Linked DNA regions of Caenorhabditis elegans. The protein of the gene in region 4 interacts with the protein of the main gene of each other region in a biochemical or structural test. Each region holds a gene or a part of one and is shown on either strand. Other genes may lie near its edges. The genes, in order: polh-1, bub-1, max-1 and gei-17.

Evidence for each region.
Region 1: of the proteins of gei-17 (region 4) and polh-1, one has a biochemical effect on the other in vitro, tested with the Caenorhabditis elegans proteins (one study listed by BioGRID).
Region 2: of the proteins of gei-17 (region 4) and bub-1, one has a biochemical effect on the other in vitro, tested with the Caenorhabditis elegans proteins (one study listed by BioGRID).
Region 3: of the proteins of gei-17 (region 4) and max-1, one has a biochemical effect on the other in vitro, tested with the Caenorhabditis elegans proteins (one study listed by BioGRID).

What each region holds. Positions count from the first base shown.
Region 1 is NC_003281.10:1,943,352-1,951,872, forward strand, and holds polh-1 (DNA polymerase eta), read right to left. Parts: upstream 6,919-8,521; 5' UTR 6,907-6,918; coding exon 6,779-6,906; intron 6,728-6,778; coding exon 6,581-6,727; intron 6,533-6,580; coding exon 6,373-6,532; intron 6,083-6,372; coding exon 5,878-6,082; intron 5,795-5,877; coding exon 5,619-5,794; intron 4,705-5,618; coding exon 4,293-4,704; intron 3,149-4,292; coding exon 2,952-3,148; intron 2,895-2,951; coding exon 2,718-2,894; intron 1,922-2,717; coding exon 1,769-1,921; 3' UTR 1,707-1,768; downstream 1-1,706. Other genes in the region: F53A3.1 (MARVEL domain-containing protein), read right to left, coding at 114-173; rps-15A (Ribosomal Protein, Small subunit), read left to right, coding at 7,325-7,420, 7,722-8,018; F53A3.7 (DNL-type domain-containing protein), read left to right, coding at 8,176-8,319, 8,373-8,489.
Region 2 is NC_003279.8:7,249,658-7,256,250, reverse strand, and holds bub-1 (Mitotic checkpoint serine/threonine-protein kinase bub-1), read right to left. Parts: upstream 4,311-6,593; 5' UTR 4,305-4,310; coding exon 4,231-4,304; intron 4,186-4,230; coding exon 3,656-4,185; intron 3,613-3,655; coding exon 2,701-3,612; intron 2,657-2,700; coding exon 2,469-2,656; intron 2,424-2,468; coding exon 1,654-2,423; intron 1,610-1,653; coding exon 1,120-1,609; 3' UTR 1,028-1,119; downstream 1-1,027. Other genes in the region: ztf-15 (C2H2-type domain-containing protein), read right to left, coding at 15-230, 273-359, 408-497, 543-656, 701-724; Protein lin-61, read left to right, coding at 4,969-5,331, 5,435-5,617, 5,666-5,832, 5,959-6,055, 6,106-6,593. UniProt on the Caenorhabditis elegans protein: Serine/threonine-protein kinase essential for spindle-assembly checkpoint signaling. Plays a key role in the recruitment of the checkpoint proteins bub-3, mdf-1 and mdf-2 to unattached kinetochores. mdf-1 recruitment is independent of bub-1 kinase activity.
Region 3 is NC_003283.11:13,106,938-13,112,844, forward strand, and holds the start of max-1 (PH domain-containing protein), read right to left. Parts: upstream 3,399-5,907; coding exon 3,297-3,398; intron 436-3,296; exon of another isoform or gene 164-435; intron 19-163; exon of another isoform or gene 1-18.
Region 4 is NC_003279.8:9,101,297-9,110,366, forward strand, and holds the start of gei-17 (E3 SUMO-protein ligase gei-17), read right to left. Parts: upstream 6,287-9,070; 5' UTR 6,244-6,286; coding exon 6,172-6,243; intron 6,047-6,171; coding exon 6,011-6,046; intron 5,929-6,010; coding exon 5,815-5,928; intron 5,736-5,814; coding exon 5,706-5,735; exon of another isoform or gene 5,692-5,705; intron 5,402-5,691; exon of another isoform or gene 5,304-5,401; intron 5,024-5,303; exon of another isoform or gene 4,811-5,023; intron 4,765-4,810; coding exon 4,399-4,764; intron 3,729-4,398; coding exon 3,603-3,728; intron 3,547-3,602; coding exon 3,452-3,546; intron 3,407-3,451; coding exon 3,310-3,406; intron 3,226-3,309; coding exon 2,753-3,225; intron 2,017-2,752; coding exon 1,703-2,016; intron 1,602-1,702; coding exon 1,345-1,601; intron 1,107-1,344; coding exon 969-1,106; intron 708-968; coding exon 542-707; intron 377-541; coding exon of another isoform or gene 234-376; exon of another isoform or gene 27-233; intron 1-26. Other genes in the region: nduf-7 (putative NADH dehydrogenase [ubiquinone] iron-sulfur protein 7, mitochondrial), read right to left, coding at 7,142-7,219, 8,111-8,326, 8,615-8,814. UniProt on the Caenorhabditis elegans protein: Functions as an E3-type smo-1 ligase. Mediates smo-1 conjugation to air-2 in vitro and is required for proper chromosome alignment.

The DNA.
Region 1 (8,521 bases), on a different chromosome or scaffold from region 4:
AAATTTCGAATAAAAAATTTTTTTTTCGAAAATTTCAAAATTTTTTTCTCAATTTTAATCCAAAAATGTTTTGTTTTATGTGCAAATACTACCATTTCAAGCTCAAAACTCACTGCCTGAGCCAACTTAATCATGGGAAGCCACGTGGCACACCAGCCCACCGGCTTCGTCATTTTACTCGGATTTTTTCGGTGAAAAACCGGGGAAAATGGTGAAAATAGCAGAAAATAAGTAGAAATAGAGACGAAAAGTTGTGTTGTTATTCGATTTCTTTTCTGATTGTTGGCGTGGGGAAATGACAGCCGTGTGTGGTGGTCCTACTCCTGCGGGGGCTCTTCACGTTGTGATGTGTGTGTGTGTGTGGTGCGAGAGTGTGGGCTAATTCGGAGAGACGCAGGCCGGCGAGTAGAGGTGATTTAGTAGGGATCATTGAAAACTACACAAAATTTGGTGCTGGGAACACTTTTGAACAAAAAAATTTGAAAAAATATTTTGGAAAATTAAAAAAAAAATTTTTTTTTTTTTGGAATTTTTTTTTGAAAAAATACTTTCTAAATTTTTTATCGCTTATAATTTTGTTTTCTGTTAATTTCACTCCTTTAAGCTGTTTTCCCCACTCATCTAGCTTGAAAATTAAAACAAATTGAATTTTTTTGGGTTACTGCAGCTTCGGGAGTACGCAAACACCAAATGCCGTAAAAATTGATTTTTTATATTTTTATATTTTCTAGAATTAGCTAAAAATCTGAGAAAATCGAAGAAAGGTTTATTTTGAAAAAAAAAATTTTTTTAAATTAAATTTCGAGAAAATTTCAAAAAATCAATGAAACATTGATTTTTCCTAAAATTCCATTTCAAAAATCTGAATCTACGCTTATTTTTACCCCTGTAACTCTTTTCCCTGGACATCTAGCTCAAATTTTGAGGGCCCAGTGGTACGGTAGCGCCAAAAGTACGCAAAGACCGAATTTCTCACGACAAAATGCAGAATTATCTGAAAAACAGCGAAAACCGTCCATATAGGGGCAGAAATGGCTTCTGAGTTCAAATTTTGCATTAAAAATCCATAAAAACTAGGAGTTAAACTAGAAAATTCGACCTTTCAAGCAAAAACTTTGAGAAACTCGAATTCTTTGATAATTTTCACCCCTAAAAACTACTTTTCTAAACTTCTAGCTCAAAAATTTAAATTCGCGGGGTACGGTAGCTCCAGAAGTACGCAAACACCGAGTGCCTCTCGACGAAATGCAGAAATATCTGAAAAATTGCGAAAATCGTCTATATAGGGGTAAATATAGCTTCTGAGTTCAAATTTTGCATTAAAAATCCATAAAAACTGGAAGTTAAACTAGAAAATGCGACTTTTTAAGCAAAAGTTTTTAAAATGTCAATTTTTGTAATTTTCCTCAATTTCTAAGTATCAAATTCGATTTCTCCACTGATGTTTAGCCCTAAAAACTACTTTTCTGAGTTTCTAGCTCGAAATTTGAATTTCCCGGGGTACGGTAGCTCCAAAAGTACGCAAACACCGAGCACCTCACGACAAAATGCAGAAATGTCTGAAAAATCCCACAAATTGACTTTCCGGGGGGTAATAATAGGCTCTGAGTTCAAATTTTGCATTGAAAATGCGTGAAAACGTTGATAAGAATCAAGATTTTTGAGAATAATTTGTGGAAATCTACGGGAAAAAAAAAACAAATTTTCAGTGAAAAATTCATATTTTTTAGCTAGAAAAATGCGTGTCAAAATTGTACAGAAGTAATTGTTAGGGTTTCTTCTTTTTGAAAAACGATTCCAGCGATTTCGGCTTCTTCGGTTTTTGAGCATTGTCCGTGTGAGCTCCGGCTCTTTTCCGTGAGCCACCAGTCTTCGATTTCAGCGCTCGAGCTTCTTCCAACGCTATTCGATGTTGGTAATGCTGAAAAATTACAAGTTTTTTATAGGAAAACTCGAAAATCAGGCATTTTCACTAGTTTTTCACTGCTATATTCGAATTCAGAGCACCATTTTACCCCTAATTTGCATATTTTCACAAAATTTCAGAAAACTGTGCAATTTGTCGTCGGATGCTCGGTGTTTGCGTACTTTTGGCGCTACAGTACCCCGGGAAATTCAAATTTCAAGCTAGAAAGCCAGGAAAACGGGTTTCAGAAGTGAAAAATGGCGGAGAATTCGAATTTGATAGTTAGAAATTGAGAAAAATTCCGAAAATATGGTAAAAATTGTAGTTTCTAAAATTATTGCTCAAAAAGTTGGTTTTTAAGCATTTTCATCACGAAAATCGAACTCAGAAGCCATTTTTACTCCTATTTTACATATTTTCGCAAAATTTCAGAAAACTGTGCATTTTGTCGTAAGGCCTCCGGTGTTTGCGTACTTTTGGGACTACAGTACCCCGGGAAATTCGAATTTCGAGCTAGAAAGCCAGGAGAACCTGATTTTGGGGTAAAATTGTGTGGGGATTGCGAAAATCGAACTGAAAATTCGATATTTTCATTGAAAACTCTATTTTTTAATTAAAAATCCCAAGTTTTCAGAGTAAAATTCATTTTTTGACAAATTTTTGGCGAAATTTGAGTTTAAAACATTTTTTAACAGTAAAATCTCAAAAAATCGATTTTTTTTGCTCAAAATTCACATAAAAATGGCCCGATTTTCGCATTTTTCCGTCTAAAATTCGGATTTTTTCCGGATTTTTCCGAGTTTTCAGGCACCTTTTTAATGTCAGGCGGTAGGTGCCTCCAGGCCATTTTTGAAAATTTCTTTCCATCGACAAAAATCCAATTATCATCAGTTTTTGGCTGTACAACGTCATCATCCGAATCTGAGCCTAAAACAATGAAATCTCCGTCTGTTCCAGTGGATTTTGGTGTTGGATTCGGCTTTTTCAGCTGAAAAAAATTCGATTTTTTCACTAAAAACTCGGATTTTTGATCATTTTCCGGTACTTTTTCCGGCGGTTCAACAAAAATCACATCTTCTCGACCATCATTTTCATCGTAAATCGCCGCTTTTCGACGCGATTTTCGCGTTTTTTTCTCGTAAAGCCATTCGTGAATCGATCGATTTTGTGCAGGAATTCCGGGTTGAAAACGTGTCGCTGATAGTGAAATGTTGAGAATTGGCGGTGTCCAGGGACCGGAGTCTGACAATGAAAATTTTGAAAAAATCTAGAAAACCTCTCAATTTTATAAATTTTCATTAGGAAATTCGGATTCCGGAGTACTTATTACCCCTATCGCGATGCTTTTCTCAAGTTTTTTGAAAATTGTGCATTTTTTCGTAAGCTCCGCGGTGTTTGCGTACTTTTGGAGCTACCGTACCCTGCGAATTTAAAATTTGGAGCTAGAAACCCAGAAGAATAGTTTTTAGGGTTGAAAATCAGTGGAGAATTCGAATTTGATACTTAGAAATTGAGGAAATTTAAGAAATTTGGAAAAAAAAATGGGTTTTCAAAATTTTTTCTAAAAAATTGGCATTTTCTTGTTAAACTTCAAGTTTTTATAAATTTTTCGAGCAAAATTTGAATTCACAGCCTATTATTACCCCTTGATAGACAATTTTCGCGATTTTTCAGACAATTCTGCATTTTGCCGTGAGAAATTTGGTGTTTGCGTACTTTTGGCGCTACAGTACCCCGGAAAACTCAAATTCCGAGTTTTAGACTTAGAAACTAACGGGAAATTCGATTTTTTCACTGAAAAGCTTCAAAACAGACTGAAAATTGAAAAAAATTAGTGAAAAATCTGAAGTTTTCCGAAAAAATGAAAATTTGGGCATAGCTTACGCATCTCCGAGTGACAAATGTGCTCTATTGTCAAATTGTTGGCAGAAATACGGTATTTATTCACATTTTCAGCCAATTTAGGGTTGAAAATGTGAATAAATACAGTGTTTCTGCCAACAATTTGATAATAGAGCACATTTGTCACAGAAATATCGACTTTTGGTGATTTTTGGAATTTTCCTGGGGAAAATTCAAATTTTTGTCAGCTTTCAGTGAAAAGCCACGGGAAATCGTATTTTTAGGGCAAATACTCAATTATTGTATCAGATTTGCGGTTTTATGCGTTGTTTTTCAGTCGAAATCGTTTAAATTTCAAATATTTAATCCAAAAATCTAAAAACCGGCATTTTCCAACAGGTGGCCTAGAAATCCTAAAAACTAGGCCACAAATTTTTTTTTACTGAAAAAACTGTTAAAAAAGTGTTTTTGCCGCTTTTTTTCTAATTTTTGCGTACTTTTTTCAAATTTCCAGCTATAAAAATTAATTTTTTTTTATTATTACCCTCATTTTTAGTGGCATTTGTCTTATTTAATCCCTTCATAGCTGCCCAAATCTGCTCAAAAAGTGTATCCGGGTGATAACTGGTGATTTTCAGCGTTTTTTGTGGTTTCCCGTCCTCTGTGAGCAGTGAGTACACCAGATTCTCGGCAGTTCGCTTATTTTCCGCTTGATCCGTTGCCAAACGCTTTGCGAGCTCTTTCGTGAGCCCGTCGAGCCATTTTTTCAGCTCCAACACCGATCGAATCGATAATTTTCCGGGGAAGTTCTTGGAGACAGCGATGGAAGAGGATTCCTTGCGTGGCCGAACTGGTTCATCGCAGTGTCCCTCGGCCACGGACCTCAGGTATTCGTGTTGATTCGGAAATGTTTCAATGAGCTGTGAAATGTCCACTTCGAGCAGTTCACCCATTAACTGGAAAAAAAAAATTTTCTAGATTTTTTCAGTGTTTGCGTACTTTCAGAGCTACCGTAACCCGCAGAATTTGTAAAAATTTGAGTTTTCACTGAAAATATCGAATTTTCAGTTCGATTTTTGAAATCCCCACCTCATTTTACCCTAAAATCAAGTTTTTCCAGCTTGCTAGTTCAACATTTGAATTTCGAGGGGTACGGTAGCCCCAAAAGTACGCAAACACCGAGTCTTGCGTATTTGGCACCGAATTTTACGACAGTTAGTCTAAATTTGCTGAAAACCGGGTTACGGGGGTAAAAAGTGACGGGGAACTCGAATTTTCGACTGAAAATCTGTGAAAATCACAAGTTTTTCGGGAAAAATTGAAAATTTGGGCATAGCTTCCGCATCTCCGAGTGACAAATGTGCTCTGTTGTCAAATTGTTGGCAGAAATACGGTATTTATTCACATTTTAAGCCAATTTAAGGCTGAAAATGTGAATAAATGCAGTTTTTATGCCAAAATCTGAGAAACGCACAAGTCACAGGGGAAATATTGATTTTTAGTAGATACAGTAAAATCGCTAGGAATCATTTTTATTCATTTTTCTCAAAAAAGAAAGCTTTTTTTGGTTTTTCTAGCAGAAATTTTTGATTTTCTCAATTTTCCTGCATTTTTTCACGACCATGTTGACTTTTTACCGTCAAAAATCGAATTTTTCACACATTTTCAGCTGAGAAAATCTCAAAATTTCTTTTTTTTTTGCCAGAAAAAATTGATTTTTTTTTGAGTATTTCCAAATTTCTAGGTTCAATGAAAAATATTTAAAAATTGTATAAAAACGCCTAAAATTGCAGATTTCAGACATTTCAGATAATTTTTCGATGAAAATTCTGAAAATAACTTGGAATTTTGAATATTTTCGCTTCCGTACAGTGATATTAAGCATTTCTTGAATGCGATTTCCCATTTTTCCGCCAAATCCTCGAACATCTCCGATTGGCGTAAGCCGGAGAATTTCTCGAACATAGAACCACGGAATTAACGTTTGTTGGCGTGGTTTATGCCGGGCGCACACCAATTTCGCCATCATTTTGTTGTTTCCGACGCCTGAAAATGGAAAATTGCGATTTTTGGGCGAATTTTTCCCCCCAAAAAATGAATTTTTCTGGATTTTCCGGCAAAATCCATACCCGCCGAGCAAAAAAACTGGGTTTCCTCGTGAATTTGTTGCCGAATTTGCTCTACAGTGACCGCGGCAATCAGTAAAAGCAGGTTTTCCGTGCAATTTCTCGCATTTTCAATATATTCCAGCAGCACATCTTCTCGTAGGTGCTCATTTTCTTTCACATCTTCTCCGGTAGCGAGGTGTGTGGTTGGGAGGTAGGTAATAGCAGCCTGAAATGCGAAAATTAGGCAATTTTTAGCGAAAAAATCATGGATTTTGCTTGAAAATTCATTAACAAACGGCAAAAAACCTGTGGACCTAGTGCCGCCCGGCGCGAGCGGTCGCGTCGCGGTTGGCACGTTTTTTAGAGGTAATTTGAAATTCTTGAATTTTATTAATTGAATTTAGCGGAAAATCAGGTTTTTCGCGTTTTTTTTCTTGAAAAAACTGCTAATTCTGCAAAAAGATGCTGAAATAGGGGGGATTTTTCTCATTTTTCAACTTTTCAAGCTAGATTTACCTGCAAAAACTCCTCCAATCCCTCGTTTTCTCTCAATTCTTGCAATTTTTGATTAGTATACGCGGATAAATCAAGAAAAGCCTCATCGACAGACGCTTTTTCGATTATAATTTGCGAGTCGTAATTGTTCAGCACCCGGAAGACTTCTGCGCTAGCGTCGCTGAAAAAATAGCAATTTTTGGGACTTTTTCAATATAAGAATTCCAACCGATATTTCTGAATATCAGCTTTATCTACATATTCTCCAATCGGAACGTGACATATTGATATTTGAGGGCATTTTAACTTCGCTTCGGCCACCGTCATCCCTCGTTTCACTCCGAACGGGCGGGCTTCATAGCTTACAGCCAAAATTCTGGAAATTTCGGGCTTTTTTTGGAGAATTTCAGATTAAAATTCAGCTTACCCACCCTCGATACCCTGCCTGGAGTGCTGCACGACGATCACCGGCTGTCCCCAAAGCGATGGATTGTCCCGTTGTTCGACTTGTGCGTAGAAACAGTCCATATCGATGAGGCTGATCACTCTTTTCATGTTTTATGTGTCTGAAAATATTCAAAAACTATGAAAAGTTGAAAAAAAAAAGAAAAAAAGCCGGAAATTGCGAAAAAACGAATTTTTAAAACAAAAAAAAACCAAAATCAATGTTTGAAACCCCGCCTAAAGTGCACTGCAATCGCGCTCCACTAAGACGATTTGGCTGCTTGGCTGAGTATTCAACGTTAATGCATAGGCGGTGGAAAGGCGTAGGCCAACGAAGTTTTTCACATACTTTTCTCGAATTTCCGTGATTTTTAGGTGATTTTCTCCATTTTTTGTGGTTTTAAGCATTTTCCAGTAGTTTTGATGCGAAATACCTACAAATATTCATCGAAATGTGTCTGTTTTGCTTCGCGTTCTCATAATTTTTGTAAAAATGAATTCCCGAATTTTCAGGTAAAAACAAGCAGACATGGTTCGCATGAACGTCCTCGCCGATGCGCTCAACGCCATCAACAACGCCGAGAAGCGCGGAAAGCGTCAGGTTCTCATCCGTCCAGCCTCCAAGGTAAATTCGCGTCGTTCTTCGAGAATTCTCAATGCATTTTTGTTAATAGATGATGATGCTGGCAGCCTCGGTCGCAAAAAATGACCAAGGCTCTCCGTGAATTTAGAATTTAGTGAAAGAAACTCGGTTTTATTTCCAAACATAACTTTCGGTTCTAATTAAACGGAGACACCCTTGGTTAGATTCTCTCAATCTGGAGATCTTCCTGGGATATGAATGTTGAAGGTAACCAGCTTAACATCTACTTTCCGTATTTCTAGTTTTCCACCTGTCCCTTCCCATCGCAACAATAATTTTCCAGGTCATCGTCCGCTTCTTGACCGTCATGATGAAGCACGGATACATCGGAGAGTTCGAGATCGTCGACGACCACCGCGCCGGAAAGATCGTCGTCAACCTCACCGGACGTCTCAACAAGGCCTCCGTCATCTCCCCACGTCTCAACATCCGTCTAAACGATTTGGAGAAGTACACCAACACCCTCCTCCCATCCCGTCAGTTCGGATATCTCATCCTTACCACCTCCGCCGGAATCATGGATCACGAGGAGGCCAGAAGAAAGCATTTGGGAGGAAAGATTCTCGGATTCTTCTTCTAAATCCAAACCCTAATTTTTTGTTTGTTATTATTACAAATAAATTGTTGTTACAACTACAACCGAGTCGTGTGTTCAGTTCGGCATCCAACTTTTCAGGGTTTCTAAATATCTTTTAAAACCTTTGGGTTTCGTTTTCGGGGACCACGAATTTTTCAGAATGCTCCGCTCAGCAGTTTCAGCTCTCTATAGAGCATCGAGAAGCTTCTCCGAGACAGTTCCCAGACTTTCAGCCACTCCACTGGGGAAGCAAGAGCCCCAGTTGTCCCTGTCATACACCTGCAAAGTGTGCAACTCCCGGGAGGTTTGAGCCAAGAAAGCTAGAAAACTGGATTTGAAATTCCTAATAATTTCAAGGGCCCAAAAACATTTGCCAAGTCATCATACGAGAAGGGAGTTGTCATTGTCACGTGCTCCGGCTGTCACAACCATCACATCATCGCTGACAATATCGGATGGTTCGAGGACTTTAAAGTGAGCATTTTTGCTCTTGAAAACGGAGCATC
Region 2 (6,593 bases), 1.9 Mb from region 4:
TAAAATGAACTAACCGAGCAATTAACAATTGGATCTCCTCCTCTTTTTGTCCAATATTTGGCAGAGGGTTTCGATGTCAAATTACTACGCGACTGCCGGTTTCCTCGTGGGGTCCGTCTTTCTTCGATACTTTCATCGGTTTCATCGCTACTGTCTGACTGATTTAATAGTGTATCAGCACCTTCACAACCATAGTTGTTCAACACGTTTATGTATTGGACGCTGTTGTCCTGAAAATGTTCATTAGAAAATGAATTACAGTTGGTTTTTACACTATGGAAGCGATTATTCCACGAAAATGAGCCATCAGCTTGGTTGTACTGAACTCCGGACGGATTTTCGAATATTGAAAGATATTGCTGGAATTCGAAAATTATACAGCATTTTTACCAAATTTATATTTCAACCTCATCTTGCATTTCATGCTTTGGATCTCTGATTTCAACTTTATTCAATTCCTCTGTGACTTGTGAAGATGTGGATGGCACGTTTTTAGTCTACAACTCTAACTTTATGTTGAGGTTTCAATGAAGATTAAATACCAAAGATGGTCGAAGTGAAGCTTCGTCGAAAATTGCTTTGATATGACGAAGCAATTTTTCATCAGGCATGTCATGATAAAAACTGCCAATTTCATTTTCGACATTTGGTAAAAGCTGAAACTTTTTGCAAAATAAGTTGATTAAACACTAGCGCTCACCACAGTCTGATCTGATTCTTCCATTTTTACAAGAGGATGGCTGGAAAATATTTTAATTGTAATTTTTTCTAAATTCTTTTTTAAATATCACATTTTATGCAAAACGCGAAGAAAACAGTTGATGAAACAAAACGAATGTGCAACTATTTAGATCTAACTGTGATCTATTGCAATACTTCCCTTTAAAGGCGCATCAAATTTCTACCGTGATGGGTCTCGCCGCGCCCAATCTCGAATATCACGTTCAAATTTGGAAAGCTTTCAAAAACTGAAAACTTCGTTTAATTCAATTTGTTTTACCAGAAATAAATTAGATGCACAATTATTAAAGCTCCGAACGAGTTTATTCACATGATATCAATACAAAAGACAATAAAAGAGAGCAATAAGAGCACGAAATACAAATTCATTGTGTTGGGCTACTTTTGGTTGGCGGCAAGATCACAGGCCTCATTGAACTTGGAAACCGCCTGTCGCCATCCCGATGCTTCAAACTTTTCATTCCAGATTTCCGAGAAAGACTTGATCAGGATATTCCAGTCCGGAAGTGAATCACACGAAGGGATGTTGAGGAATCTGTTAATGACATCGTAGCAAGCATCGCGAAGAATGTTGCGCCTCTTGATGTCGACATTTAACGAATAGTCTCCAACGCTAGCTCCAGTCAACTGTGCATACTTTCCTGCAACAACGACAGCCATTGTTGCGGCGAATCCGAAGTAATCGGCTTGGTAAGTCCAAGAACGACCGTCAACCATTTCCGGGCAATCAAACGCTTCTGTTCCTGCTCTTCCCTTGAAACGCTGGTTCTTCAGTGGCATCATGTCAATGGCACGTCCCCAGTCGATAATCTTGATGACAAAGCTGTCGTTACTCATCAGAGCATCTTTGCCCCATTTATCATCGATCCTGAAAAAAGATAACGTCTAAAATTAACAAATGTTTTCCCATACTTTCTGGTGATCATAAAATTATCCGGTTTGATATCTCCATGAATAATTTTAGAGGCATGGACTTCCTTCACAACTCGGGCCATTTGGGTAATCAAGAAGCAGGTTATGTGCCAATTCGGATCCTTCATGTTATTCGCATATTCAAGCAGCGTTCCATATTCGTGGTACTGATTAACAAGAAGCGAAGCAGTTGAATAAACATAAGCATCCATCACTTCCATAATGCAACATTTGGCCATCAGCTCCAAACCTCGATCTTTCAGGCGATTCCGCATTTGGTCGCAAATGTACACTTCCCACGAACATGATGGCACCTCGTACTTCACAGCTACTGTCCTTTGATCATCGGTTACAGCCCGGTATACTTTAGCGTATCCACCTTGACCAATAAGAGTTTGAATGTGGAGCTTTTCTCCGCTAACCTCGCAGTCTCTCAGAGCTTGAATCTTCGGTGCTCGTTCTTGGAACTCGTGCATATTCTGGGGAGGACGCACAAGACACATCAATTTTTTTCGAAGAGTTTCGTCCCATGGATTGATGTCTCCTTGCTTGATAATTTCACTGCGCCGACGAATCTTGCAACCAGTGATTTCAGATTCGTTGTTTTCAGTGAGATTTGGAATTTCATCAGCACCAATTGAAAGACGTCTTCCTAGATTAGCTGTCAAACAATCGATAGATGAATCTTTAGGATCTGATCGTTCAGGCTTTGATGACTCTGTGACTGAGGGCTGAACGGCTTGATTTGCTGCTAGTGACTTTCGACGTGTCTGAAAAAGTTTGAATAGTATGTCGAAAATTTGTCTGGCACTTACTAATTTACTGAAAGTACTGCTGGTTGGAGCAACAAATACTGGAGCTTCCTGTTCGTGAGTGCTTTCCTCCTCTTTATTTCCGAAATATTCATCAATGTTGACCAAATGAACTCCTTGTGCGGGGGTCGATGTGACGAAATTACCACGAGACGGTTTGAAAAAGCCAAACTCGATTTCATCGTCATAAACTAAAAATTAAAACATAAGTTGTTATATTTTTCGATAAACCCACTATCATTAAACATTGTAGCTGGTGAGGTTTGCGTCACTGGAGAAACTAGGACAATTTCGGGTTGTACTTCAGATTCCTCAACTTTCTGAGATTCTTCCGGTTCGGCTGCCTCATCGTAAACAACATTCAACCCATTCGACACTTTTTTCGGACGCTCCTGTGTAATGGTCATTGTCGGATCAGGATCACAGAGCACGGAAAAGTCAGTAACTATCTGCGTAGTAGCTAAAGATCTTTCTGGAACGAAGACAGAATCATCGCCAAGGACCATTGTCTTTTCGCTAGCAAGATGTACAGTGTCGGAAAACATAGCATGTGCCTCCAAACACTTATTTTCCGCCATCAAATCCAATCCAGCTCCACTCTTTGATGTTCTTGCAGAAGCAGTTGAATAGTTGGAAGATATGCTTGTGGAACGGTCTGGAGGGTTACCATCTTTTCTGCCGGCAGTCATAATCTTGAGTCTTTCATCATCATCTGCATCATCGGAATCACTAACATCTTTCTCCGAAGCAGACTTTGTATCCGACGAAAGTGTCACTGTCGCTGGAGGATTCTCAATTTTGCTCCGAAGTGCAGGTCTGTGAGCATCCTTCGTTGCAACCAGCGGCGAATAAATCCGGCTTCGCTTTTCCTCCTCATCATCAACCGTTTTCTCACTGACTGGTGAAAGATGACGTCTTCTAGGATTTAGATTGGCGTTGAATCGGTTTTCAACTTCTTCGCGGGCTTGTCTGTCGGTATCAATGACTTGATGTTTCACGAAAACGACACCAGAGTCTTTTCGTTTTCGGTAATCGTCATCAACATCTTCTCCGAAAGTGTCCTTCCATTTGGCAAAACGAAACTCCTCAATCGATATTCCATGATAGTTTGGCCTGTCGATACACGCCTGGCGAAGATCCGTTTTGGCTGTAAGTTTCCAATGAGAATAATAACTTTTTTTCAAACTTACTTTTTGGTCCAAATGCAGCTTTTCCCGAGTTATTTATAGGCACATTGTGTTGCAAAAAGCAAACCGAAGAGCGACGCTTTTTCTTAGAACCCGCATTGAATCTGAAAAGATCCATAGTCTCATCCGGTCGTGTGAACATATCTCCAGATTCTCCATTGAAGTATTCATCGACCAAATCGCGAAATCCCGATTCAATTGCTGTCATTTCTATTCTTTCGGAAAGACGATCTCGTGCCAACTTCAGGACATCTTTGAATTCCTCCAGCATTTGATCTTTTCCACATTCTTCTGCCCATTGCAGATAGAACTTCAGCGAACCAGTGAAATGATCCTTTTTGAAAAGTTGTTCATAAATGCCTCTTCCCTTCAGGTTTGTACTAGATCGACCCATAACTTTGTAGAGACGGAGCATCGCTTCGTTTTCACGAATTTGATCAAACTTTTGCTCCCGCAAAATTCTCCTAACGCAGTCGTATAATTCCGCCTTCATTTCCTCCGCGGTCATCATTTGAGACAACGTTTCGATTTGCCTGAAAGTGGTGACTATTTAAAATACAAGATATACGGAAACTTACGTTGCGAACGTCTCAAGACCACATGTCGACGGATTGGTGTCGAGTGGAGCGAATGCCACTCTAATGTGGGACATAACTTTCTGAAATAATCTGAATAACAAGTTTTCAAAGTAGAAAGGACGCGAATAAAAAAATCATCGGTTCACGAAAATTACGGAGTTCATTGGAGACGTGAAATCCCTCTTTCTCCTCTAAATTTTAGGACCTTCGAAAACAAGAAATGGATATAAACGCGCGCGTCTTTTTTGAAAAGCGAGTCTTCGCGGGCCTGCTCGATAGAGCGCGTTTTTCGCTGTAGTTCAGTGACGTCACTCTCATGGCTACGTTCTTTTGAATCTGGAGAATTGCGCACTACTGAAAATTGGGCGGTGCTTTATTGCTATAACTGAAAATTGATTTTAAAGCTATTTGAAATTATAAAAAAACAATTTTTTAAAAAGTGTTTGTATGCAATTGGAATTTAATTTGAAATGTTACACTTTTAATAACACAAAAAGCCCGCCCATTTTTTCGTAGTCCGTTCGTCACTAGTTTCGAAATCGACGGATCTGCATTGAGTCTCTCATTTCTTTTTTATTATTTTTCAAACATTTTCTCCATTTTCCTGTTTTGTTTCTTTTTTTTTTAAAGCAAAATGTTTCGAAATAATTGAAGTTAGCGTGGCCCAGTAGTCTAATTTGTCACCAGATAGTTAAGAGTGTTTTTGTTCGTCCGAAAAGTTAGTTCCCGAACATCAAAATGCTAAAATTAGTCATTTTGTGCTTCGCGTTGTTCTACAATACAGTCAGTTCGACAAGATTTCTGTTTGGCGTCGAAGTTAAGTGTGATTTTGATGAAGTGTTCCAATTAACAGTGTCGCATTGGGAAGACGATGGCAATACTTTTTGGGATCGCGATGAAGACATCACTGGACGTATGACTATGTTTGCTCGAAAGAAAATATTTTTCTATCAGGACGGCCATCATGGATTTGAATTTGGAAAGCTCGAGCCTTATGGGTGGTTTCTGCACAATTGCACGAAAAATGGAAATTTTCGCGAGTATAGGCACGGGTTGAGTAGCACCAGTGGATCCAATGGGTTGGAGTATATTGAGTACACTGTGAATTTGACGAACGCCTGAGAAATATCAAATCAAATCGAACTAACTTTCAATTTCAATAAACATTCTCTCTAATTACGTTTTAAACCAGTCTTAATTTCAGATGTCTGAATTTCTGAAAATTGTCAGAGCTAACAAAAAATCGGACAGAAAACTCGATAAGACCTACTTGTGGGAATCCTATTTACATCAGTTCGAGAAAGGAAAAACTTCTTTCATTCCAGTTGAAGCATTCAATCGTAACCTTACAGTTAATTTTAACGAATGCGTGAAGGAAGGAGTTATCGTGAGTTCATATTGTTCGTAAATCGGTTTTAAAATACAATTTTTGTAGTTCGAAACAGTGGTCCATGATTATGACAAGAACTGCGATTCGATTCAAGTCAGATGGTTTGCACGAATTGAAAAAGTTTGCGGATACAGAGTTCTGGCTCAGTTTATCGGAGCTGACACGAAATTTTGGCTCAATATTTTATCGGACGATATGTTTGGTTTGGCAAAGTAAGTTGGACGCTCAGCTCTTTCTACTATTCTAAATAAATAATGGTTCTGTTACATAAAATTCTAGAGAACAATCGTATTAAAACTTCGAAACATTTGTATAATAGTAAAATTTGAACATTTCAGCGCCGCAATGAGTGATCCCAATATGGATAAAATTGTATATGCTCCGCCGCTTGCAATCAACGAAGAATACCAAAATGATATGGTAAATTATGTAAATGTAAGTTTGTTTTTTTCCGAATTTATGTTAATATCATCTCACAACTTCAGAATTGCATTGATGGCGAAATCGTCGGCCAAACTTCGCTGTCTCCAAAATTCGATGAAGGGAAGGCTCTCCTAAGCAAGCATCGTTTCAAAGTTGGACAACGTCTTGAACTATTAAATTATTCCAATTCTACTGAAATACGCGTAGCGCGAATTCAAGAAATATGTGGACGACGAATGAATGTATCTATCACAAAGAAAGACTTTCCCGAATCGCTTCCAGATGCAGATGACGACAGACAAGTCTTTAGCTCTGGATCTCAATATTGGATAGACGAGGGAAGCTTCTTCATATTTCCTGTTGGATTTGCAGCAGTCAATGGATATCAACTAAATGCGAAAAAGGAATATATTGAGCACACAAATAAAATTGCTCAAGCAATAAAAAATGGAGAAAATCCAAGATATGACTCAGACGACGTCACATTTGATCAATTAGCAAAAGATCCAATTGATCCCATGATTTGGAGAAAAGTTAAGGTTGGACAAAA
Region 3 (5,907 bases), on a different chromosome or scaffold from region 4:
TTTCGACGTTGTGACGAATGAAACGGCAACAAAAATTTGATTAATGAGGCGGAGACAAATCCGAATTTCTACGGAATTTTCCCAATTTTTTTTCTTTTTTCCTTATTCCCACCTACTGTACAGTTTCAAAAATAAAATGGAAAAGTGGTGAAAATGAAAGTGAACCCGAGTGAAAAAAAGCACCTGTTGTAGACACTTTCTCCCATTTTGTGAAAAGGTGTTCAGCAGATGTGTGCCAGGCTCTCAGACTCCACTACTCACAGTTTTATGGGCAAGTTGGGTACTTGGAGCTGCGCAACTCGAAGATTCTATTAAATTGGAGTAAAATACGAAAGTAAAGAAAATTGAGGAAAAAGTGATGAAAATTTTAAAGAAATCTGAGATGATTTCACAGTGAAAACGAACACACTTTTGATTGAAGTGGTTGAGAAGGAGTATATACGACGTCTTCTAGAGTTTCCAAAACGAGCTGCACTACCGAGGTTTACTGACATGCCATAGGACAGCGTAAAACGGGACGGAAAAGCCCAAAAAAGAGAGATTTGTGGTGGCGTATACTTGTGAATTTGGGAAGCCTGGCACACAAATGCATGCATTTCGAATAGTAGTTCTAAATTTTTTTTTGCTGATCCGTTTGGTTCCAAATGATAAATTGCGGAAATTTGTCAATTTTTAAATTTAAAGGTTTTGGAAACAACTTTAAAAAACGATTTTTCAAACAAAAAAACGAAGCGAGAGAGAAAAGGAAAAACATTGAAAAAAAATATTTGAACACGTGTAAAAGCTCTCAAGATTCTTTAATACTTCAATAGAAAACCAAGTTCAAAGTTTTGAAACAAATGGAACTGATTTCTGCTGAAGGTCATAAAATTTGAAACTGTTCAAAAAAAATTCCGACTATTCCTTTAATTTTTAAATCGTTAAGTTTATGAAGAAGACAGCTATTCTCAATTTCAATAAATAATAGGTGTGGATATTGAACTGCTTCAGCACAGATGTTATCATATTTGGAAATAAGTCTGGTTAAAAGTGTTTTTAATACCTATAAAACCAAATCGTTTACTCTGAAATGACGTGAAACAACAGAAAAATGAACTTCTCATCCTGTATTCAAACACACACAAAATGCCTCACCCACCATAGAAAAATAAATTTCCAAATTGAAAATTCAGAATTACAAACGAGTGAGAATGAAGAGAAACAACTATACGAGTGAGTTAAAGATGTACTAGTACTGGACTAAACCAGTTTCTTCCATCATTTACAACTGTTTAGCTTCTCATTTAATAACCGTAATCATCTCCGAGTAGCAGCAAAAGCGGATCCAAGGAATTAGTGGATGAATAGAAAATTGTGTAGTACGAAATATTCATTAGTGATCATGGAACAAGGTGTCAATGAAGATTAATGTGGAATCAGAGTGTAGGTTTTTGGAGGACATTTCACAACGAACAATGATACTTTGTGGGTGGTATCAAGGCGCCAAAAATTTGAATGTGAAAAACTAAATTAGCAGGTAAATTCTTGAAACTGAGAAAGCAAAATGGATAGATCCTTTTTAAACAAAATTATCTAAAATAAATATTAAGCAGTTTCTGAAAATAGTAACTATTCTCAAAATTCTGTTCTCTAAAATTGTTCAATATTCTCAGAATATCTACTCCATTTGAAAGCAGAAATTCTTAAAAGTAGAAAGACTCAACGCAGTTAACAAATGGGCTTCTTCCCGTTCGAAAACTCAAACTCAAGGGAATTCAGTCAGAGGTTCAGAGTGCTCTATTCTTCGTTCTAAACTCAAAAATCAACCAGCCGTCACTCATTCATTATGCAAATTTCAAAGCTTTGTCTTCTTCCAAACTCTCGGAGTCAACTACCCAGAAAAGTAAGAATTTGTAGAAGAAAAAAGGTATTCAGACTGGGTTGGACCACCGGATGAAGAAGAACAAGAAGAAAACGATGTCGGAAGGGAGACGTCAAGAAATGTTGTCAGGAAGGTAACCTGATATCTTGGGGGAACCAACATGTTGGCATCTACAATGTTTGTGCTCATGCTCATAATTTTTGGACTCAAAATGTGTTATGTCGTTAGTGCAGATTTGGTGGGAGCAAGTATTGTTTGAAGAAAAAAACAGATTGAATGAAAAAGGGAACACATGGTTAGGATGTATACTAGATTTGAAAATAATAAAGATAGTTTTCTAACAAAAGTTTAATTCTATATTTGGCATCTCAGTCGTTTTGAAGTTGTTAGAAAGTTTTAAAGTCTATCGTAAGTTATCAGGTCTGTAAAATCCCATTTTTAGAAAGGTTAGCTACACTTCCCGCGTTTTCTGTTTTTTCTAGGACGCAAAATATGCTGGGCTAATCCGGAAATTCAAAATTTTTCTTAACATTTTTTTAAAAACTAAACTAAAAGCACAACTACCAGGAAAATGTTTCCGAATGTTAAATGAACAGGGCGAACACACGTATATAGATTATCATTTGAATAGGTGTAGAAGAGGAGAGGAGAGAACACAAAATGAGTTGGCATACACACGGAATAACTAATAAGGACTAATATTGTTCATTTAATATGACTACTTGTTGACCACTGCACATCCCTGTTTTTGTACCTTTCCCATTCTAAAAAACAAATGTAACAATGAGAAGTAAGTATTCAATGATATTTAGGTATCAATGTTATATTTTTTAATGATTTTGGAAACTATAAAAATCGAATTGAAAGGAATGCTATACCATATTTCTAAGTCTCAAAAGTTTTAGAGTGGCTGTACTATTCACTAATTTTTTAATGAAATTTTATTATTGTCTGACCTAAACACTAGTAGGCAGTATGTCCTTTTTTGAACTCTAGAAGGCGTGGTTTTCAGAGTTTGAAATCACAATAATTTTGTAATTTATTTCATGTAGAAAATCTGTCGTCAAATTATCAAAAACACGTTTTACCGCAATTTGCAGAGGTGGAGTAACCCTTTAAGTGCTGAAAGAGAGCAAAAGATCATAAATAAACAGAGAGTTATAGGGACGAAAATAAAAAAAACCGTGTTGGGCTCAATTTTTAATTACTTCAAGATCGATTTTTATCAAAAATGAAACGGCAAATATCCAAAAATTTGTTAACAAATATAACACATTTTTGAAACGATTTTCTAAGGATAGAAACAAGTCCTCATGAGAAGTTTATCTTGAAAAAATAGAGATTGAACTGAACGTTGGTAGTCACTCGATTTTCCTTTTTTTTTCAACTTTATAATCAGATTAACATACATTTTCCCTACCAAACAATCACTCACCTCTTTCATTCTCTTTGTAACCCATAATCGTATTCTCGATGATTTTGCGAGTAGCTCCTCATCCTCTGGTGAGCGTAATGGGGATGCGCTTGAGTCGCTCATTCCTTCAAAAAATCATAATTTTAACAAAAAAAAGAGTGAGACGAAATAAACAAAATAGAGTTTTTAGTGGGGGAGAGACCGAGAAAAGAGCAGCGAAATAATTGTTCAAGAGAGATGAAGAAGCCGATTTAGAAAAAAATAACGGAAATAGAAGAAAAAAGAGTTGTCAAAAATGATGACTCTCTTATGTCAGTTCGAATTTCTTTGTCATTTTTTCTTGTAAAAAGTATAAGAAAAAATAAAGTAAAATGAAAAGAAAGAATGAGTTGTGAATAGTTGTGGTAATAAAATACGATGTCCATCTCTTGACCAATGTCCTCCGCCCCCACCACCAATTTTCAAAAGCTATGTATTAGCATCAAATTGCGCGATTTTGGGAGGTCTGGTGGTGCAATCCGGGGGCCTCTCTTTCCCTCTCATGCTCCCCATTTTCTTCAATTCGTCTCTTTCTACAACACAAACCACTTGCATAATTTGTGTCTTCTTGTATGTATCTCCTCAACAAATCTATTGCACAATGTTCCATCACTCGAGATTTCAGATGAATGACGATAAGAAAGTTTTGAGGAAGATTGTTTATACTTGAGATTTTGGGAATATTTAAAAAGTTGGATAGTTCTCAATTTGGAAAAATTCAAAGCGTTTTTTTTCAAAAAAAATAATCTACCTATTCTTTATATTTTCAATTTACGATACCCACAAGGAGACCTACGCCTACGTGCCTACACTTTCCTTGGTCATACCTATGGTTTGAATTTTTGGAAAGTTTTACCCATATTATTTTTATGAAATTCTGAACAAAAAACCACATATAACGCTTTTTTATACCCAGACCAATTGGCAATTAAACAAAGATCCCACTTTTTTCGAAAATATGGATGGCTGGCTCATCCTTACAATATTTACGGCAATACAAATTGAATGCACATTAAATTGAACGAGAATAAAAACATTTAAAAATATCTAAATTTGGAATAATTCAAATTCAAATTTATTTTCCCCTAACTTTGATATCTCTTTCTGAATTTAAGACTTTAAGAGATTCAAATAACAGCTTGAGCAGACTATGCTTGAAGTCTCAAATACACTTTTGGTTACTTATTTTATGATTTTTCAAACTTAAAAAAACATAGAAATCCATGTTATATTTTCTATTACAAATACAGTAGGACGTAAATTGTTCATCTAGGTAAGAAATCTATACCAAAAAAGAAAACAGAGGAATCCTCTCGTCAACAAAAAGACCCATTGGACCTCACGGCCTTTCGATGTTGGTTTTCTTCCTCTTGCAGCCGTAATCAGATAACGAACAAATTTCGCAACATGATTCAAAAACACATCTTTTTTTGGTGTACCCACGCCCCTCTTCTATCACAAAGTAAAATGAGAAACGGATGGAGAGCTCATGAGCTCTTTGCTACCAGTTTGACGAGTCTTCCAAAGACGGGACGTCAGACGGAAGGACGAAGACGGGCGGTGGGAAGAGGACGATGAGCGCAAGAAATTAATTTTGTGAAGCCGGGAGAGGCAATGGAAGAAGACGAAGTAAAGGGAAAAAAGATGGAGAAAAGGCATTGAAGAGGGCAGTTCTGGAGCTTTGAGGCAACGGAAACAAGAAGAAGATCATTAACGAGAAGAAGGTTGGAAGAGACCACCGGAAGGTTTTAGAACGAACCAAAGAAAAATGACCGATAGGAGATGGATAAGTGTCATTTGATGAGAAATGGAGTTGTATTAACAATATTCCTAGTCTTCGAGTACTATTTATAGGAAATTAGTCTAATTTTAGGTTTTATAGTTTTTTCAGTTTTTTCAGTTTTTTTTCATTAAAAAAATAGGAGTGGGTACACAAAAAAGTCCGTTTTCTTGTCTAGAAAAATTTGCTCAAGTTTGAAATTCTCTAGATATATATTGTAGGAAGAAATTGACTACAAAATGATGACTATATTTTGTCGACACTGTGTGCAGGAATAACAGTTTTATCATAAACATCAGCTGCCGAAACGTTGATTTGCATATTCTTCGATGCACCGGTTACTTCGAGGCACCGGTTTTTAAACTATGCTAGAATTCTGTGATCGATTTGAAATTGATGTCACTGTTGAAGTTGCACTACATTATGTATGTACTCAATTTTTTGATAGTGAATATAGGCCACTTTCAGACCCTTTTGGCTTTTTAGATTTTGAGCTTTTGCGACTAAACATCATAAGTAGGGAATGGTCAACAGTCAAAAAATGATGGTATTATTTTTTTTCAAGTTTTTGAAAACCTTTACTTTGCGTATCATGGATCATCAAAAAATGAAAAGATACATATCTGAATTTCAAAAAAAAAACTTTAAAACTATAAAGCCCTGTGAAGCATCAAAAAATAGACGAGAAAACTTTTCGGACCACCACAATGTACGTGCACTTCCAACAACAAAGCAACAATTCAATTTGACCTCCGACAACGCATTTTCGTGTTTTCTTCCGGTGCTTTTCAAAAAACGAAAACACAAAACAAC
Region 4 (9,070 bases):
TTTCAATTGTATTTAAAAGATTGCATACAGGATACTCAGCTTCATTTAACAAAAACATTACCGTCACAAAATTCTAGTTAAAGTTCATCGAATCAGCCGTATAATGCAGACAAATATAACTTACTAGACTAAAGCACAAGCAGGATTCTGTTAAAAATTGTAAATCGTGGATATGGGTAAAAGATGCACATAAATCAAATGAACTAGACGGCACAAAAAATACAATTCATGCATTAATTCCGTGAGCCACGTGGATTGCGCATAGTGACTCCTGAGTGATCGATCATCAGGTGTCCATTTACCAAAAGTCGAGATGCATTTGCTTGTATTTCAGCCATGGAAAGAATTCGTGGTGGTTGGATGTTATTGGTGTCACCTGAAAGTGAGGCCAAACCAAGTAAGGGAAATAAATATATATTTGCATGCAGGATGGTTGCAATTACACAACAAGTTTACTCGCTATTAACTGAAGATCGTGAAGTGATTGTTTTGATGTTTAAACATAATATACAAAAACTTTGTAAGGTGTACAAAAAATTACCGTTTGACATTTGCTGTTGAGCATAAAAAGACGGAGACATGATTTGTGGTGACTGCTGCTGCTGTTGTTGCTGCTGAAGATGGTGCTGCTGCATATGAACCATTTGATTGTTTCGCCCTATGAGCCCGTTTTGCATTTGGAAGTGTGGTGCCTGGTTTATCATTGGCTGAAAACGAGAGTTCAATTTTTAAAAAATTTTGAAAAATATTTGTTAAGTTTATAATTCCAGACGTAAAACTAGTGCATTTTTTTCAATTCGACAGAATTCTAGTGCAGTGGACAATCATCTAAGTATCTTATCCAATTAATAGGGGCTTGAACAAAGAAAAAAAAGAGATTAAAACAGGATTTTTTTGTTCTGTCGTTATGAAAAAATATCACTAGAGTATTAGTGCGTGTGGTAGACTATTAACACGTGCTGGCATACCGAATATCCGTATTGTGATGTAGGTGTTTGAGATCCTGAAGAGGGATTCATATAAGATGATTGAGCAAAATTCAATGGATGTGTCGTATGGTGAAGTTGAACAAGCGGAGATGATTGTGTTGATGAATTTGCTGACTGCTGCAACAAACAGACAGTTTAGTGAGTGTGGACAGGGAGAAGCAGATGTTAGTTTAACAATATCATATAATAATATAATCAAATATATAATTCAATCTTTGTATTAGTTTTGGTTAAAAACGGATAAGTTATAACTAGAATACTGATTTCAGTCAAATTAAGAACAAATCCTCTTAAAACTATGGAAAATAACTAACAATATTGGCTCTTTTGAAGATTTGTGTTTTTCTGAACTTACTTCTCCTATTTTGTTCAGCGCATCCCGGATAGTTTTACTTGCACCCTCGTTCATTCCCATTTGCGTTGAGGCCATTCCAGATGGAGATGAGCCAACTGGCATTTGATTCTGTTGAGACATCTGACGCATTGGAAGATTTGCACTTGCAGCTACTGGACGAGGTGGTGTATCATCGAGAGTAATAATCTCTATGTCATCGTCTTTCGTCTTCTTTTTCTGCTGTGGTGGTGTCTTTTGAGCAGCCAATTCTGCGGAAGCTGAAATAAGATTTGAATTTCAAGTGAATACTTTTAATTGATATTGCTAGAAACTGCAATATTCTCAGCTTGTCTCACACCACGCCATTTGAATAGCAAACCTGTGTGTCTGCCAGGAGAGAAGCTGTCGTTCAGAGAGTTCATTATACCTCTGTTCAATTCCTCATCATCGTCATCACTCAAGGTAATTATGTCGTCGTCAGCTGGTTTTTTCTTCGCTGCTTCATTTGCAAGTCCATTGCCATTTGTCGAAGAGCATGACGCTGTACCGTTAACAGTAGCAGGTACAACGTCATCGTCGTCATCATCTGAGATGCAAAAAGCTTCTTCCTTGATAACATCGTACGAGCCATCTTCCTTAAGTTCAACTTCCGTCGTATTCTTATCCACCTTTGCAAGCATATCGAGGAAATAACTGAAAGATGAAACAATATTTGCATAGTCTCAGAACATTGCTTTTTATTTTGATATTTGAATATTTCTTAAATAAAATGTTGAATTGGGTAACGTCTAAGCAGTTTCTCAGGCATTTCCGTGACTAAAAAGTATTTTCCAATTAAGAAAACGAGCGAATAGTGCGAACAGACAGCTTCACACAAAACTGCATGAAGTTAGCCATCGAATTTGTTGTTTGTCCATGATGCACTGTTCACAATATGAATCTGGATCATGGTAAACATAAGAGTGAGAACACTATTTGGATTATTAATTGATTGAGAATTATTTACAGGGATTTTGAATTTCTGAATAATAATAATTTTCAATTACACATTAAAACTCTTGCTCAATTATGATGATTGACCTTTGCCATTTGTTTCATGTTCTCTTACGTCATGAGCTGAATTTTGAGTTGGAGACCAATACGAACTACTGATAATAATCGTAGACTATATTTGCAAATACATGCCTATTTTAGACGACGCGTTTCCGAATTTCCTAATCACCGTTTCATCATGGCTATTTTAAGGGTGTTGTCCATCGCTATAGATAACAATTGTGTTTGGAAAAATAATAGTGTCTTCACAAGAATTGGAAATTTCGAAGTGAGGGAACGGTATCTAAGAGTTAATAGAAAAATAATGAAAACATAGAATTGAGATAATTCGCTTTTTTTTAAAATCAAAGTTAGTCAGTGTGAATTGAAAACTTACTCATCAACAATAAGTCTATCATATGGGCAGTTACTCGAGCAAACAGGGCACTGCCACGTTGGTTTCTTCTCGTTCATCATCAAATATGAGAGGAGATCAAAACATTGCAAATGGGTACAATCTTGGCATCTAGAAGGCGTTGTCATTCTTGTCTTGCACAGTGGATCAAGAAGACTGATATTAAGACGATCCATAGCAATATCATCTTCACCTCCAGACAGTTTCTTGATCACTTCTTGCTTGGTAACCTCAAGTGATCGATGTCTTGATACATTCTGATTAAGACGTTTAAAGAGAATATCCGAGTTAACACGATGAACGAAATAAACTCCAGCTGCCCATACACGTTTGTCGGCTAACCATTCGACTGCAACTGTGTGCTCTTTCTTGTATCTATTCATGTTTGAAGTGATATTCACTGGACGAGATGGTCGTTTCGGCTCAGCATTTGTCTTATTTGTTGGGATTACATTCTGAAATTTGAAGAAATAGTAACTCCTAACAATAATTGATATTTTGAAATTAAATATATTTCGTGAACGTTTCAAATCTCATACCGGCAATTGAACGACAGAATCATCAACACGTGCGTAGCAATTGAGTGGAAAGTCGTCTTTTTGAGGACCCTGAACTGGTTCAGTAAGATTGAAGAACCTGAAAACAAGGATTTAAACCGATTTCAATGATAATAAAACGTACCTCAACTGCAATTCATATCGTGGAAGAGGTGTAACATCAGCTCGATACGAAATCTTGGAGATGTGCTCAGCAGTCAATAAGAACGGGAATTGTAACTGAAATTAGTAATTAATAGGTAACCGGCTTGGAGAGCGAGTAAATTGAGACCAACCTGTTTTGTTTGCTTCAAAGTTGGACTGTCTGATGAATGCAGCTCGACAGGCTTCAGCAAAACAGAAATAACATCGTAGAATGGAAGTGGAAGCGGTTCAAAATTATCAGCATACATTTTTTTCGGCTGAAAAAAAAATACATGGGTTAGACATGTGGGAATGTAAGAAAGAGACGCTGAAAGCAATTTTCAGGTGATAACATTGAACTCGTGTGAGCGAACTGTATAACACATGCCGCGCAATTTCTAATGATGCCTGCTTTTTGGTAGTAAAAAAACACTTTTACATGCTACTACGAACTAATTGGAAATAAAACTATTTGAAAATTGAGCACGGCAATATGAAGAAATGCCTAGAGAGGATTATCATATTAAGCTTTTCTTCATGAACATGCTCCTAAGAATGCCATACTGTAATATCTTAAAACCACACTTGTTCTAGTTTTTACGCCATTCGGAATCATGCAGAAAATTTCGTGATAACAGCGTGCAAATCTTGGAGCTTCGAATTTTTCTTTCTTTTTTTTGAATGCTACACGCAATTCAAAAAAGTGCATTCAATAAACGGTAGGACATTTGTTTGCATAATGTATCACGATTGAGGAATTTTCAAATAACCGCGACTGGCCAATATGATATATGTGCCCAGAAGAAGCTACCAGTGTAATTTTTTCAGGTAAATTTTCCGTTACGGTCATAAACCGAAAGTATATCTTCACATGCTTTCCGCCTCGATATTCTTGCGTTCATTCTTATCGTGAATTTCAGGCAATAAAAATGCGGCGAAAATGTTCACCCTATTTGATTTTTCCGACTTCTGCAAACTTTGCTGAGAAGAACGTCCATGATTAGGAAAAGATGAATGGAGCGGCGCGTTGGTAGCAGCAGCAGCAGCGGGAGCGCCGTATCTCATCGAGCCCCTCAGTTGCTCTTCGAGCAGTTCAGGAGTTAGCCATCTCACCGTCGACGGATGGTGCTGCTGTTGCAGATGTGAATGATGTGACGCCATCATTTGTTGATGAAGTAGATTGTGAGGCTGTGGTTGTTGTTGTTGTTGCTGCTGATAATGATGATTGACCAAGTGATTACTAGCTCCAGATCGAGATGGCAGCACATATGGATGAGACCGAACTTGGGATGTTGTTGCAGGTCGCTTCTGCATCTGACATTTTTTAATTTAGTTATTAAAACAGAAACGATTTACAAACAATTTTTTAGGCTCTAACTTTAAATATGTGGAATATTTTAGACAATTAGAACATTTGCAAAAATACATTTGGGAATAAAAAACAAAGCGGAAGAGATTTTTTGAACGTTTGTTTCTCAATAGAGCGCACATGTCATCAGGAGAGGTGCTTGCGAAGAAATGATATATATTGATAAACCTAGCCGTTTTTTTGGAGTTTTGATAACAGGACTTTCTTAAAATTTAGTAAAATTTCAATAATAAGCCAACTAAAAATTCGATTGATTTAAATAGTTACGCGCATTCGAATCAACTGTTGTGAAATAACAACAAAAAAAAAAACGATTCCCAGTTTCTCACGAGCGACATCGTGCCAATTCGCTTCCATATCGATTTTTCAAAGTGAAACAATTATTAAAAAACTCAAATACCTCTTTAGGAGTGAAAATTTGAATTTGATTTTCAAAAAAGTGTGACAGTATTCAAAAGAATCAATCTAGTAAAATAAAAATTGTAATGAAAAACTACGCGCCAAGCTACACGTATGAAACATGGAAAGAAGGTCAGGGCAAAGTACAACTAAGAAATTTTCGAAGATCCACTGCTTTTGAGGTTTTTAACACCTTATTACGGGCGAAAGTCCCGTTGCCGGAGCTGCGAGGAAGCAAGTGCAGAATGGATGAAATATTTGAGGAAACTTAGAGAAACAAAGGGCTACATATATGGTGGGTATGAGGATGCTAGTGGAGATAAATGCGAGACTTATTGTGTGAGTAAAGAGACAATACTAGGTGAATGAATAATTTCCTCCGAGGTAGAACACTGGTAAACGTTACCCAAAGTACCTCACACATCTATTTAATCAAAGTTGACATAGTTTTTTTTTAACTGAAAGTATTTAACTTTTTCATACTTACCTCATAATTTCCGTTCGGGAAATTGGAAGCCTGTAAACTCGAGAAAATTAATGCTGTAAAACATCATTTAAAAAAAAACATAAATAAAATAACGAGAAAAACAAATGACCATTTGATAAATTTGCCGAGCATGATGAGGATCACGCAAGGATTCAACGACGACCTTCTGATGCTCCGATTTTTGTGGACGTGGCTTTCGAAGTGACAATTGCGAGATAATCGACTGAAATTCATAAATTCTTGATTCACATCGCCTTCTCGTTGAGGTATTGAACAATAAAGATTGATTAAAAACGGTATCTAACCTGAAGATCGTGTACTCTCAATTTCATGACGGCTGCCTGAAAATTTGGAATCCATCAGTTTTACTTTTTGAAAAATAACAGATTGGAACAGAAAAATCCTTGGGTAAAATACAAGAATTTTAAACTATTTAATAAATGTCAATAATTTTCCAATAACTCACGTGTGCTGCCATATTTTCCTGATGTGTTAATCCATTGTTTATAGGTATTTGCCATTGATTATTCGGTAACATATTGATTTCAATACCTCCGATCCTCCGCTGTGTCTCGAAACGACGGAAAAATATAAAACTGCAGATTCGGAAAAGGGATATTAAGGCGAATTTGAATGGTCCAGTAGTGAAAATATCACAAACAAAAAGTAGAAAAATGTGATCTTTTCTATTCCCTAAAAAGCGTTTCGAAAAGCGCGGTTCCGTGTGGATTTCCCAATTTTGGAAGTTAATGGACCAAAATCGCGCAAAAAACACGGGCACACCTGATGAATCAGTTTTGCAAAATCCTGCAAAAAATATTTCAACGTACTCACGTTAACTCATTCAGGAAATCAATGAGATCAATGTGTACGATAGGTTTGTGCCCGTGACAAAGGATCAGCAATTTTCAGAAGAGGCGCCAGAAAATTTGTGTTTTTGAATTTGCGCAATACAATTTTCAATCCACACAGACTTTTTTTGTATTATTTTCAATCCAAAAACCAAATCCAAAAAAAAAAACTTGGCGGCGCTATAAAGTGCGTCGTGATCTCCTTTCAAATCACTATATAAAAATTCACAGACTTTGTGAAAATATGAATAAATAAATAAAAAGAGAACCACAAAGGGTCGGCGTTGTTAACCGTTCCAAAGAAAATGAGAGAAAAAAATAGAACTTTAAAAAAATGTTATCGACTTTTTTTCAACCAAAAAAAACATGAGGTAAAAATAGACACTATTCGAAAAAAAAAGTAAACCGCAGAAAAAAACGAACGAAACTATCGATATCAGATCTAGAAAAAAGAAAATGGAGAAAAGGTGGAGAAACACAAAAAATGAATGAAGTGGGGCTTACTCGTACAAAATGACCATTTTTCTGCGAATTTTTTCACAGTTCTCCAACTTTCTCGTACTTTCTTTTCGCCTCGTGTTCTGTTTAGCGTCTGTACCAAAGTTGAGCTTCTCGCTTACGCTTGATCTTCTTTTGAAGTTGGAGAACTCCGTATAGAAGAGCCTGGAATAATTTTTTATATTAAAATTATTTTCTTTATTAGACGAAACATATTTTCAGAAAAGACTGCAGGCTAGGAATATTTTTAAAGCTATTCAGATAATTTCACTAATTTAAAATGTATTAGAAATTCGCTGATACAGTCAGAATGTGATAAAGTATTTCGAAGAGCTAAAGATTTAAACAAAACACCAAGTTGTTGTTGCATTAGATACGGCAAAATATTCATTAGTGAATGCTTGAGAAACTAAGCAGAAATAGAGAAATAAAGACTCAATGGTATGCAAGAGAGCGTAGACAACACAAGACTTTCGCGCCAATTCGATCAATAATTGAGTACACATGCACCCACGTATTTTCGAAATATTTACAATCGGTCGTGGAGCGCGATTACATCATGCCGTCCTTAGCCCACCATTCTTAAATTGGGAAATTTTTTTCAAAAATCTTTTTCGGAAAAACCCGAAAAAAACAGTTTTGATAATGATGGGGTGTCGAGATTATAGTGAGGTACATATTATGACGTCATAGAATTATTAAAATTCATTTTTGAACATAGCAACACGCTTTTCTTGGAATATTTTCAGACATTAACTGAAACAAATTGTTACTCAATTAATGGAAAATGAGCCTGCACGAGATCTGGACACTCATTATCCTTAATTGAGCAGTCAGATTTTGAGTGCGTTTTTTGTGTAACAGGTGGACCAAATAAATATGGATAATGAGAGAAAATGAATTAGCTGTGGTGTGCTGATACGATAACGTGAGATCTAATACTGACATCAAGCCAGCCACTAAACAAACTCTAGACTCTCCAAAAAAGATTCAAAACTCAAGGTATTTTTGAAAATGAGGCAAACTTAAAAGCGATCATAAAAATTCGACACATACCTCAGCAGTTGGTGGGCATCCTGGTACATAAATGTCCACTGGAATCACACGATCACATCCACGAAGTACAGAATATGCGTAATGATAATATCCTCCTCCGTTTGCACATGATCCCATTGAAATAACCCATTTTGCTTCTGGCATTTGATCATATATGCGGCGAAGTGCAGGTGCCATTTTGTTGGTTACTGTACCGGCAACGAAAATCAAATCGGCCTGAAATATTTTGATAAATAGATAGAATAAATTTTGAAAACGCATACACTGAGAGACTGAAAACTAAATTTTGTCATGACAACGATATCATTTTTTTTCTTGTTGACCAGAGAATGATGCTATGGAGTTGATATTTAGGGGTGCGAGTTTTGAGAAATAATTGCCAAATTAATTCTAGAACTTGGAAAATATGAATTTTAAGACTACATTTTGTTGTTGATGGGAAAATTTCAACTCAAAAATTTAATTTTACACAATTTTTATTTCAAAATGATCAGTATAGCTAACCTGTCTGGGAGAGGCTCTGAAAACGACTCCGTACCGATCCATATCATATCTTGGCGCAGCGAAGTGCATCATTTCGACAGCACAACATGCGAGACCGAACGTCAGTGGCCAAATTGAACCTCTTTGAGCCAAATTCAGGACATCATCAAGACGAGCCAACGCGTACTCGGCTTTAGACGATGGATTCAGGAATGGAGTTCCTGAAATTACAAAATGATTTCAATTAAATAAAATAAAAGACATTCTGAGCTTAGAAGAATTTTGATCCGATGAAAGAGGGATTCCTAAAAATTTAATTAATTTTAGTTTTCCCGCATTTTTAAAAAATATTTTTTCTTGGTGTACTATGAAATACACAATAAAAATTAAACTTTTTCCCAATCAACAATGGTAATTCAAAATTTTTTTCTTGATCAAGAGACAATCTTGGTGTTATGAATGAATCATAACTCTCAA